Coturnix japonica: one gene and its partners. Each later gene encodes a partner of the first gene's protein in a complex. Links are inferred from orthologs where the notes say so. Each region holds a gene or a part of one and is shown on either strand. Other genes may lie near its edges. The genes, in order: POLD2, POLD4 and REV3L.

The links.
Region 2: POLD2 (region 1) and POLD4 share a complex: the UniProt entries of both Homo sapiens proteins name them as parts of the tetrameric DNA polymerase delta complex. The link is inferred for Coturnix japonica from reciprocal best matches to the Homo sapiens genes POLD2 and POLD4.
Region 3: POLD2 (region 1) and REV3L share a complex: the UniProt entries of both Homo sapiens proteins name them as parts of the tetrameric Pol-zeta complex. The link is inferred for Coturnix japonica from reciprocal best matches to the Homo sapiens genes POLD2 and REV3L.

What each region holds. Positions count from the first base shown.
Region 1 is NC_029537.1:62,656-66,816, reverse strand, and holds the start of POLD2 (DNA polymerase delta subunit 2), read left to right. Parts: upstream 1-1,227; 5' UTR 1,228-1,360; exon of another isoform or gene 1,361-1,372; intron 1,373-1,710; 5' UTR 1,711-1,717; coding exon 1,718-1,925; intron 1,926-2,619; coding exon 2,620-2,741; intron 2,742-2,891; coding exon 2,892-3,015; intron 3,016-3,088; coding exon 3,089-3,203; intron 3,204-3,316; coding exon 3,317-3,515; intron 3,516-3,599; coding exon 3,600-3,680; intron 3,681-3,750; coding exon 3,751-3,908; intron 3,909-4,001; coding exon 4,002-4,129; intron 4,130-4,161. Other genes in the region: antimicrobial peptide NK-lysin, read right to left, coding at 1-99, 189-290, 403-509, 740-779. UniProt on the Homo sapiens protein: Accessory component of both the DNA polymerase delta complex and the DNA polymerase zeta complex.
Region 2 is NC_029520.1:154,592-157,558, reverse strand, and holds POLD4 (DNA polymerase delta subunit 4), read left to right. Parts: upstream 1-1,423; 5' UTR 1,424-1,622; coding exon 1,623-1,980; intron 1,981-2,060; coding exon 2,061-2,172; intron 2,173-2,242; coding exon 2,243-2,267; 3' UTR 2,268-2,358; downstream 2,359-2,967. Other genes in the region: glycine N-acyltransferase-like protein 3, read left to right, coding at 1-114, 260-380, 827-1,247; SSH3 (protein phosphatase Slingshot homolog 3), read right to left, coding at 2,816-2,967. UniProt on the Homo sapiens protein: As a component of the tetrameric DNA polymerase delta complex (Pol-delta4), plays a role in high fidelity genome replication and repair.
Region 3 is NC_029518.1:60,208,778-60,212,426, forward strand, and holds part of REV3L (DNA polymerase zeta catalytic subunit), read left to right. Parts: intron 1-642; coding exon 643-3,649. UniProt on the Homo sapiens protein: Catalytic subunit of the DNA polymerase zeta complex, an error-prone polymerase specialized in translesion DNA synthesis (TLS). Lacks an intrinsic 3'-5' exonuclease activity and thus has no proofreading function.

The DNA of each region.
Region 1 (4,161 bases):
GCTGAGCTGCTGCCGGAGCTTCTTCCCCAGCTGCCTGCAGATCCCCTTCAGGATTCTCTTCGTACCGCAGACCTGGCCCAGTGCTGTGCCAATGGCCTCCTGTGGGTCCCGGCCCCAGGGTGTTAGTGGGGCTGCAGCCACTGGGCCCCCTGACCCTGCCAGGACCCCCCACTCACAGCCCCACTCACCTCATCGGGGTCGTCACCAACGATCTTCTGCAGCTTCTTCACCAGTTTGACGCAGGCGCTGCATTTCATCTTGCCTGGTCCCATTGCGTCCCCTTCATCCCACTGTGGGCACAGCACAGACCCTCAGAGCGCTGCCACCCACCCTCCCGCCCCACGCTCCAACCCTACACGGGGCTGCCCCACAACGTGCCCCACAACCAGGGCGCATCCTCACCACGGCCGAGCCGTCCTGCAGCAGCTGCCATTGCTGCTCCCAGGGGCTCCCAGCAGCCACGTCCCGTTGGTCATCGTGGGGCGGCTCAGTCACCACCACCTGCAACACTGGAGATGGAAGGGGTCACCACGCTGCCCCATAGCAACCTCCGGCCCCATTGAACACCCCCATCCCCCCTGACCCCACGTCCCCATATCCACCCCCTCCATGTCCCCATATCCACCCCCTCTATATCCCCATATCCACCTCCATGTCCTTATATCCACCACCTCCATGTCCCCCCCTGACCCCACAGCCCCCCGTTCCCATCCCATGTCCCCCCATATCCGCCCCATACCGGCCCCCATTGCCATCATGACGATGATCGCAGCCGCCATGTCGCCCCGTAGCGCAGCTCAGCGCGTCCCACCCGCCTTTATAACCCCGCGGTGGGGCCGAAGGAGCCACTCAGCGTGAAGGAAACACAACGAGGCCTTAAAATGGGCACGGACCGAGCGCTTCGCCCCACACCCCCGCCCCACATCTCACACCGCCCCACAGCTCACACATCTCACACATCTCACACCTCCGCCCCGCTCGTCACGGCGGTGTCACTGTGTCGTTGTGTCACTGTGTCGTTGTGTCACTGTGTCACTGTGTCGTTGTGTCACTGTGTCGTTGTGTCACTGTGGGCACGGCGGCTCCATGTCCCTGCTCGGCCCGTGACGCCATGTTGGTTTGTTTGTTGCCCGCAGGTCACGTGGTCCCGCCGCTCACCCCGCGGGCCGTGGGACCCAGGACCAGGCCTCACCGTCACCATGGCAACAGCGGTCAGCATGGCGCCGCCGCTCTGACGTCACTTCCGCCGCGCGGGTTCGCCGCTTCCGCTGCCCGTGTTGGCGCCACTCGGTGCCCCCCCCGGTGCGACACGGGCCGTGTGCAGACGGCCGTCACCACGTGACCTCTGACCTCTGACCCCGTACGGCACCGTGTGGGAACCGGATGTGGGGGGGGTCCGGTACCGGGGGTGATTTATGGGGGTCCGGTACCGGGGGCTGAGGGGGGAGTTTGGGTAACGGGGGCAGTTGGGAGGGTCACGTGGTCACAGTGCGGGTAACGGGGGCAACCGGGGGGGGAGGGGTCGTGAGAGGGGACCGGGGGGTCACGTGTCACCGGTGGGGGGGGGATTCGGTACCGGTGGTCACGTGGGATGTTACTCGGTACCGGCGGTCACGTGGGGTGTTACTCGGTACCGGTGGTCACGTGGGGTGTTACTCGGTGTGGTTCCGGGTCCCATCCCGGTGTCCCTGACCCCCCGTTCCCCCCCAGCCCCGCCATGTTCCCGCCGGTCCCGGTTCAGTCCCTTCTGTCCGCTCCGTCCGCCGCCCCCGCCCCGTTCCCCCGCTCGCTCAGCTCCGTGTCGGACCGTTCCGCTCCGTTCCGCCTGGGGGAGCGCAGCTTCGCCCGACAATACGCGCATCTGTACAGCACGAGGCTGCTGGGAATGAGGCCCCGCCTGGAGCGGCGGGCACGGAGCCGATGGGGTGAGACCCCCGAGACCCCCACCCCCGTTATCGCCCCGTTATCGCCCCGTTATCGCCCCGTTACCTCCCCCCGGTGCACCCCCCATCCCGTCCCATCCCCCCACTGTCCCACCGCACGTTTCTGGGCTCTGCTTCTCATTTGGGAACACTGACCCCCCCCAATGCACACAGTGGGGCTGCAGCTGGATGGAGCTCCGGGTTCAGCTGATTCCTGCCCCCAGGCAGCCACATACCCCCATACCCACATACCCCCGTACCCACGTACCCACGTACCCACATACCCATATACCCCCATACCCACATACCCCCATACCCACATACCCCCATACCCCCATACCCCCATACCCACATACCCCCATACCCCCATACCCCCATACCCACATACTCCCATTCCTAACGTTGCTGTTGCTGTTCCCAGCCCCCATCACCCCCCTCATCCCACCCCGTCCCCCCGTCCCCTCTGTCCCCCCGTCCCCTCTCACTCATCCTCGTCCTTCCCACCCCAAACCCCAGCATGGTGACACACCCCGGGGTCGCCCTTACACCCTTCCATGGCCGCTTTCCCAGCACTGTGGGATGGGGGGTTTGCTCTGGAGGCCTGGAAGCTCCATGGGGGTGTTTTATGGAGCAGCCTCAGCACGGTGCCAGGGGCAGCGATGTGTCATGGTTTTGTTTGAACCTCCCGGCCCCGCAGGTGACAATGTGCTGCTGCGGAAGCTGTGTGAGCTGCAGACAGGGGAGCGGTGCTGCGTGGTGGGGACGCTGTTCAAGGCCATGCGGCTGCAGCCCTCCATCCTGCAGGAGATCAATGAGGAGGTAGGGCTGAGCACCCCCCCCTCCCCACCGCTTCCTCCTTGGCTGCCGTGCTGGCTGCGCACTAAGTGAAAGCAGCTGGAGAGCAGCCCCAGCACAGGCCGTGAGCCTCACTGAACCGGGGGTCTCGCTCTCGTCCTCCCCACCCTCCAGCACAACCTGGTGCCGCAGCCCCCCCTGGCCAAGTACGTGGACCCGTCGGACGAGCTGGTGCTGGAGGACGAGCTGCAGCGCATCAAGCTGACGGGGAACATCGAGGCATCGAGGCTGGTGACAGGTAGGGGACGGCGGTGGGGCGGTGGTGGCCCAGATGGTGATGGTGAGGCTGAGTGTCCCCCCACCCGCTGCAGGCACCGTGCTGGCTGTGTACGGCCACGAGCAGGAGGATGGGAAGTTCCTGGTGGAGGAGCATTGCTTTGCCCACCTGCCCCCACAGCTGCCGTGGTGCGGTCCCAGCACCGATAGGTGAGTTCCTGTCGTGTCCCCATTGTGTCTCCACGTGGCCCTGGGAGCCATTCATCCCATCCATCCTGAGGGACACGATGGGGGCTGCAGTCCTCTGCCTGCCCCCCGCCCAGGTTTGTGCTGCTGGCGTCGGGGCTGGGGCTGGGCAGCGGCAGCGGCGAGTCCCTGCTGGGCACACAGCTGCTGGTGGATGCGGTGACGGGGCAGCTGGGTGCTGAGGGCCAGCAGAGCTGCGCTGCTCTCATCTCCCGTGTCCTGCTGGCCGGGAACCTTCTGAGCCAGAGCACACAGAGCCGGGACAGCCTGCACAAGGTATGGGGAGAGTGGGGGGGGCCGGTAGGTGGGAGGGAGGGATGGAGAGAGATCGTGCTCCTCACCGCATCCTCACTGCCGCAGGCCAAGTATTTGACCAAGAAAACACAGGCTGCCAGCGTGGAGGCGGTGAAGATGCTGGATGAGATCCTGCTGCAGTTCTGCGTGAGTGCCTGGGCTGGCAGAGCGGCCCCCGCAGCCCCGCAGGCCCCCAACAGCCTCACTCTGCCTGCAGAGCTCCGTGCCTGTGGACGTGATGCCCGGAGAGTTTGACCCCACCAACTACACGCTGCCGCAGCAGCCTCTGCACCGCTGCATGCTGCCCCTCTCCAGCGCCTACCCCACGCTGCAGCTCGTCACCAACCCCTACCAGGCTGACATAGATGGCGTCCGGTGAGGCACAGTGTCACCGAGGCTGGGATGCCGCTGGTGGTGTGGGGTTGTGCTGCAGGTTGCACTGAATACAGATCCACCCTCAAAATACAGGTTTTTGGGGACGTCAGGGCAAAACATCAGCGATATCTTCAAGTACAGCAGCCTGGACGACTACCTGGAGATCCTGGAGTGGACGCTGCTGGCGGGACACATCAGCCCCACAGCCCCCGACACGCTGGGTAAGGAGGTGCGGGGTCCCGGTGCCACACAG
Region 2 (2,967 bases), on another chromosome or scaffold:
TCAATGACAGCTACAGGAACCTGAACAGCGCCTTCTACTGGGACCTGGGCGCCTACCGGGCCCTGCTGGAGAGCCCGGGCTGCCTGCGCTGGGACTCCGCGTTCCACATCTTCGGTGGCTGTGGGGACAACCGCAGGGACACGGGAGGAACGAGGGGGGACGGGGGCGGGAGGTTGTATCAGGAACGGGTGGTGCTGGGAGCGTGTGGGGCACGGTGGGGGAACATGGGGGAGCAGAACCCTGCTGCTGCCACCCCCAGGGCTGCAGGATGGCGTGCTGACCGTGTCCCAGGACATCGCTTTGGCCAAGGGCGTGGAGCTGGAGGTGACCGAGTACTACACGTACCTGCACCCCGACCCCAGCACTCTACCGGAGCCACAGTGAGCCTCAGCCCCATCTCCCCCTGTGTCCCATCCCAGTCCCTGTCTGCTTGTGTTTCCTTGTTTCCATTCCGGTTCCTATCCTGTACCTCATCCCATTCCTGTCCACAGCCCTCTCCCCAACTCAGTCTTGCCCCATTCCGTACACATCCCCAAACTTATCCAGCACCCATCCAAGCCCCGTGTCCATCTCATACACATCCGTGGCCACATCTGTTCTAATGCTAATCCTAAATGTAACTAGTGCTCACTCTAACCCATCCCATTTGTGTCCCCAGCCCCATCCCATCCCCAGCCACGGTCAGGTCCCAGTCCCATCCCAATCCATGTCCCCATCCCAATCTTAACCTTAACTGTAACCATAACCTTACCCCTAACGTGGACACTAACTGTAACCATAACCTTAACCCCCCCCATCCCCGTTTTCCTGTCCCTCCCCGGTGCAGGCTGGACCCCGACATGCAGCTGGGCACACTGAACCCGGCACACGTGGAGTTGCTGGACTCGACGTGGCCGTACGGGGGAAACGAGTGGAGCCGGCGCTACCTGGGGGAGCTGCTGCTCCGGTTCCCGTACCTGTGCCTGCAGGACCTGGCCGGGGATCTGCTGTGCTGGGTGCTGAGCGACGGCTTCGCAGCGGGAGCGCACGGTTACACGGTGCCGGCCCAGCGGCGCCGCGGGTTGATGCGGGCGCTGACGATCATGGCCGCCCGGCGGTCGCACGGCCGCGGCTTCCCGGTGTACGGTCACACGGCCACGGGGAACCGGGGCATGCAGCGGCTGCAGGAGGAGCTGGGGCACCGGCGGCTGCCGGGGCTGTGCCGCTTCGTGCTGCACAACCCTGCACTGGCGCGGGCTGCGCCCTGAGCGCACCGGGGAGAAACGTGTCAATAAAAGCAAACGAAGCGAAAATGAACCCGCTGCGAAGTGAAAAGGGAACGAGAGAGAAACGGCAACGAGCCGAGAAGGGCCGAGAGAAAAATAAACAAGGGACCAACCGTGAGCAACGTGAACAGCCGAACCTTTCCGGCTGCAAAAAGCGAAGCGCCAATAAACGACCCGACCCAACAAACCGAGACGGAACGTCCCGACAGCACATAAAGATACAACAACACTAAAAAAGATTAAAGAAAAACGGCCTCCAAAGCAAATACAGCCGAACCGAAACCGAAACCGGACCCGAACCGCCCCGCCTGCTGCCCGCCGGACCACAGCGGCGTCTGGCGGTGCTGCCAGAGCGGGATGAGCCGGGGGACGGGGAACGGCGGGCGGCGAACGCGGGGCCGGACGGAGCCGAGCGGGGCTGGAACCGCCGCCGCCCCGCAGGGAATGGAGCGCACCGGGCGCATCACCGACAGCTTTCCGCGGCGGCACCGCGCGGCGACACGCGCCGACGGCAAAGAGCGGAGCGGAGCGCGGCGGGGGCGCGGCGGAAAGGGGCGGCACCGGGGGGTCCCGCCGGCATCGCCCCCGCCGGATTCCCCACGCCCCGCAACGGAGGACGCCCGGGACCCCCCCCCAGCGCCCGGTACCGCCTCGCGGGAGCTGCTGGAGATGCTGCGGCAATTCGACTTGGCCTGGGAGTACGGGCCTTGCACCGGTGAGACCCCGGCGCCGCGCACCGAACCCCGACCCCCGGCCCGACCCTCCCCGCCGCTCACGGCTGCCCGTTCCCCGCAGGCATCACCCGGCTGCAGCGCTGGGAGCGGGCGCGGGCGCTGGGGCTCAGCCCGCCCGCCGCCATCCGCGACGCCCTCCTGGAGCACCGGCACGACCCCGCCGTCACGTACAGGTGCGGGGCGAGGGTGGGGGCGGCCGGGGCGGCGGGCTGACCGTGCACTGACCGTGCGCTGTGCCCGCAGCCTATGGCACGAGTACGGCCTGTGAGCGGACGGCAGGACGGGCGGCTCCGGGACGGCACCGCGGTACCGGCACGCAGCGCCGCTCTGTGAATAAAGCGGTGAGTGCGTTAACTGCGTTAACTGCGCTAAGTGCGGGCCGGGGCCGGCGCCTGGTTCTCACGGCAACCGGGAAGGCGCCCGCCCGCATCGCTCGTAAGATGGCGCGGCGGCGCCGAGACTACACTTCCCGTCGTGCCCCGCGAGCACGGGAGAACGGGGCGGAACCGGCGGCGGCGCGCACGGCCCGCTGGGGATTGTAGTTTGCGGCGGCTCCGCGGAGCTGGGCCGCCTGTCCCGGCACACACGGCTCCGCACACGGCCCACGTCCGTCCGCAAGGTTTATTGTGCCCGGCGGTGCCGGTGGTGGCGGCTTAAGGTGACAAAGTGCGTACGGAGCGGCGTGGCTTCCCCAGGCCCCGCCCCCCCGCAGGTCCACACGCTGCTCGCAGCGCTGCCCGGGTGGGGGCTGTGCCCGGTGCCCCCGCTGTGTGCTACGGGACAACGGGGGGGCTGTGCCCGCTGACCCGCTGCGCGCTACGGGCCGTTGTCCTCCGCAGGGTCGCGGTCTCCATCTACGCTGGCCTGTCGCACCACGCGGCACGGCCGGGACCTGGGCCGTGCTCCTGGGGGGGCCGCCTCCACGCTCGCCCCGTCCCCCGCCCCCCGGTCGCCTTTGGACACCTGTG
Region 3 (3,649 bases), on another chromosome or scaffold:
CACCATGAGTCTTCACTGCACAAGTACCTCAGCGTGTGCTGGTTGTAGAACTTTGTGGAAATAGTAATCATGGGTATGAATTCATGATCTAACTAAATGGAGCAAGCTCCTCATATACACACCTGAATGGGTGTTGGACTGCTCTGCTTTAAAAGTACAGCAAACTGTCTTACACTTATTGCACAGGATGGTTGATACAAAGCCCTTGCTGTTGTAAGATCATACTTTGCCTGTATGTTATTTTCCTTTTCAGAAGCAGGAAGCATGCATGCTTCTCAGGGACAAAGCAGGATACAAGCTTTTTTAAAAGTTAATGTCTTTGTATTTAGCTTTCTGAAAATGATTTCTGAAGTTTTCTCTAAGCAAATCATTGAGAAATCTATGGGAAATGTATTCAAGTCCTTAATTTATAAGTAACTGACAGAATATCTTAAGACACAAATGTATTAATGATGTAATTTTGATAAAGTAACTCATGTACTTGGAGCCTGTAGTTGTCATGATCATAATTGGAATGTGAGTTAGAAGAGTACTGTTCTGGTATGGGGGGGCTATTGTGAAAATATCATTAAAATAATTAATAGCTTAGTTATTCTTTTTTTACAGGAAAACTAGAGTAAAATTGCTTGTCTTCCATTTCAGACAATCCTTTGAATAATGAAAGTTCTCGAACTCACTCCTCCGTCATTGCAACAAGCAAAATGTCTGTAAAGACCTCAATCTTTCACAAAGATGCTGCTACGCTAGAACCCCCGTCTTCTGCTAAAATTACTTTTCAGTGTAAACACACAAGTGCCCTTTCTAACCACGTTTTGAATAACGAAGATTTAGTAGAAGACCTCTCGCAACCAAACACAGAAACAAGACCTGAACTTTCAGTTCATTCTCTTACAAAAGAAAGCACTTACACAGCAAAGTACCCAACATCATTCAGCAATAGTACCCATGCAGAAAATTCACATAAAGAGAGTAACAAGAAAGATACTCTCCCAGTTCCTTCATGTGAAAATAATATTTTTGAGTATGAAGATGATATTTCATCAGTCAGCAGACAGATACCTAGCAGGAAGTATACTAGCATCAGAAAGACTGAGAAGGATGTCTCTTTTATGCACGTGGGCCGCCACATTGGTGACAGCATATTGAATAAAAATTCTTTTAACTTTTCTGATTTGAGCCACTCTGGCCACTCCAAAGGTAAAATATCCTCTGAACTAAATGAAAAAGCCAGCAGCGCAAGTATAAATAGTTTTTTTCCAGCAACAGTTACAGAAAATTGTGAATTGGTGTCCTGTTCAGGAGGCAGCCGAACTGTTGTTCATTCACTTGAAAACAACACTGATGAAGGTGGCCTTAATAAGCTTAAAATTAGGTATGAAGAATTTCAGGAGCATAAAGCAGAAAAGCCAAGTCTCAGTCAACAAGCAGCACATTATATGTTCTTTCCTAGTGTTGTTCTTTCAAACTGTCTTAGCCGACCACAAAAGTTAGCTCCTGTGACGTATAAATTACACCAAGGCAACAAACAGTCCAGGTTGAAGCTGAATAAAAAGAAATATAGTTTTATCAATCATCAGGAGCCCGCAACTGTGAGTGATGTTGTATCAGTGAAGGAAAGCTGCTATACACAAGGTAATGCTTGTAGTAATATTCCTGATAAGGATAGTGCTTTACCTAGCGACTTAGTCCAAGTTCCTCTTGAGGCTTTTGAAAACAAAATGCCTACAAGTACTGCTCATTGTACTGACTGCCAGATGGGAGATGGATCTCTTGAAACTGAGCAGTCGTTTGGATTATGTGGAAATAAATACACACTCCGAACTAAACGAAAGGTAAATTATGAGACTGAAGACAGTGAATCAAGCTTTGTCGCACACAACTCAAAAATTAATCTACCTCAACCAATAGATAGTGTTGAAAGTTTGGATGGGTCTCAGAAGTCTCGAAAACGTAGAAGACTTTCTAAAAAACTGCCACCTGTTATTATTAAATATATTATCATCAATAGATTTAGAGGGAGAAAAAATATGCTTGTTAAACTAGGGAAAGTAGATTCTACTGAGGAAAGAGTGGTACTCACAGAAGAAAAGATGAATTTATATAGAAAGCTTGCACCTTTAAAAGACTTTTGGCCAAAAGTTCCTGACTCTCCTGCAACCAAATATCCTATTTATCCACTAACACCAAAGAAAAGTCACAAAAGAAAAGCGAAACATAAGTCAACCAAGAAAAAAGCTGGAAAACTGCAAAGAACAGGTAGTAAAAATAATATTAAAAGAACTTTATCTTTCAGGAAAAGGACTCACACAATTCTTTCTCCTCCTTCACCATCCTATAATGCTGAAGCTGAAGACTGTGACTATAACTATAGTGATGTTATGTCTAAATTAGGTTTTCTTTCTGAGAGAAGCACAAGCCCAGTAAACACATCGCCACCTCGCTGCTGGTCTCCCACTGATCCAAAAGCAGAAGAAATTTTGACCAACCTGGACAGAGAAGCTTTACATAGTAGGGGTAGTATGTACAACAACAGGACTGTTAATTCTAATGTAGGAAAAAATAGTCGAGCAAAAACTCAGGTTAAGAAATGTAAAAAGAAATTTGCTAGCCCCACTGTATCTACAAAGAAAAAGAAAAAGATGAATCAGAGTGATAAAACAGCAGATGATGGAAAGAAGAAGCCTAGAACGAAACAAAGACAGAAAACAACAGAAAAAATGTCCTCAAGAAAACGCATGGTTTTTAAAGATGAAAAAGGAAATAATCATTCAACCACAGAAGTGAAGTTTGTGCTGAAACATCAAGATCTGCCTGAGATGTCTTACAACTCGCAGCCGCTTCATCATCGGAGAGATGGTCCTCTTCCTGGCTTTACAGCAGGGTATCTGCCATCAGCACCATTTCCCTCAGCAGCTGATACACAAGGTAATTCATCAGACTGTTTTCATTCATTGATGGAAGTTGATAAGCCTTTAGATGCACAGTGTTTGCCTGCTCCACGAGAAGACCCTCATTCATCTCTCACATCAACTTCTGTGGCATCCGGAAGAGAAGTACTGAAAGTGAGCTCTCAAAGGCCCAGGACTCAAAGTGCTGTATTTAGAATGAAGGAATCTGCTCTTGTTAAAAACATATTTGACTCATCTAATCACTCAACTCAGGTAACACAGAATGTGTGCATCTCTAAAGATAAGACCCTTGTAAAAGCAGAAGAGATAAAAAATTTGCAACACAGGTATTTACCATCAGCTGGGAAATTAAGTGAAGCTCGTGAGTCTTCAGACTCAATGAAGGTGGATCAGTTGCATTCCACTAGCTATTTGCATTGTAAAGACAATAATCAGCAGCAGATTTTTTGTATACCAGAGGCATCCAAGCATTCTGATCCTTCTAATTCTGTTCCTAAGTCATCTGAGGAAAGTCCGGGGCCTCTTCAGTTGCCTAAGAACTGTTTTGTAACCTCTTTGAAGAGTCCAGTGAAACAACTAAATTGGGATCAAAAACAGAGAGGATTTATTTTGGAAATGTCGCATTTTAAACCTGAAACTGTAAAACAGAAGTCTCTGCCAGAAACAACGACACAACCAAAACCCATTTCCCAATATAAGAACAGGACTATAGTGGCCCCGTCAGCATTTAGTGAAGGACA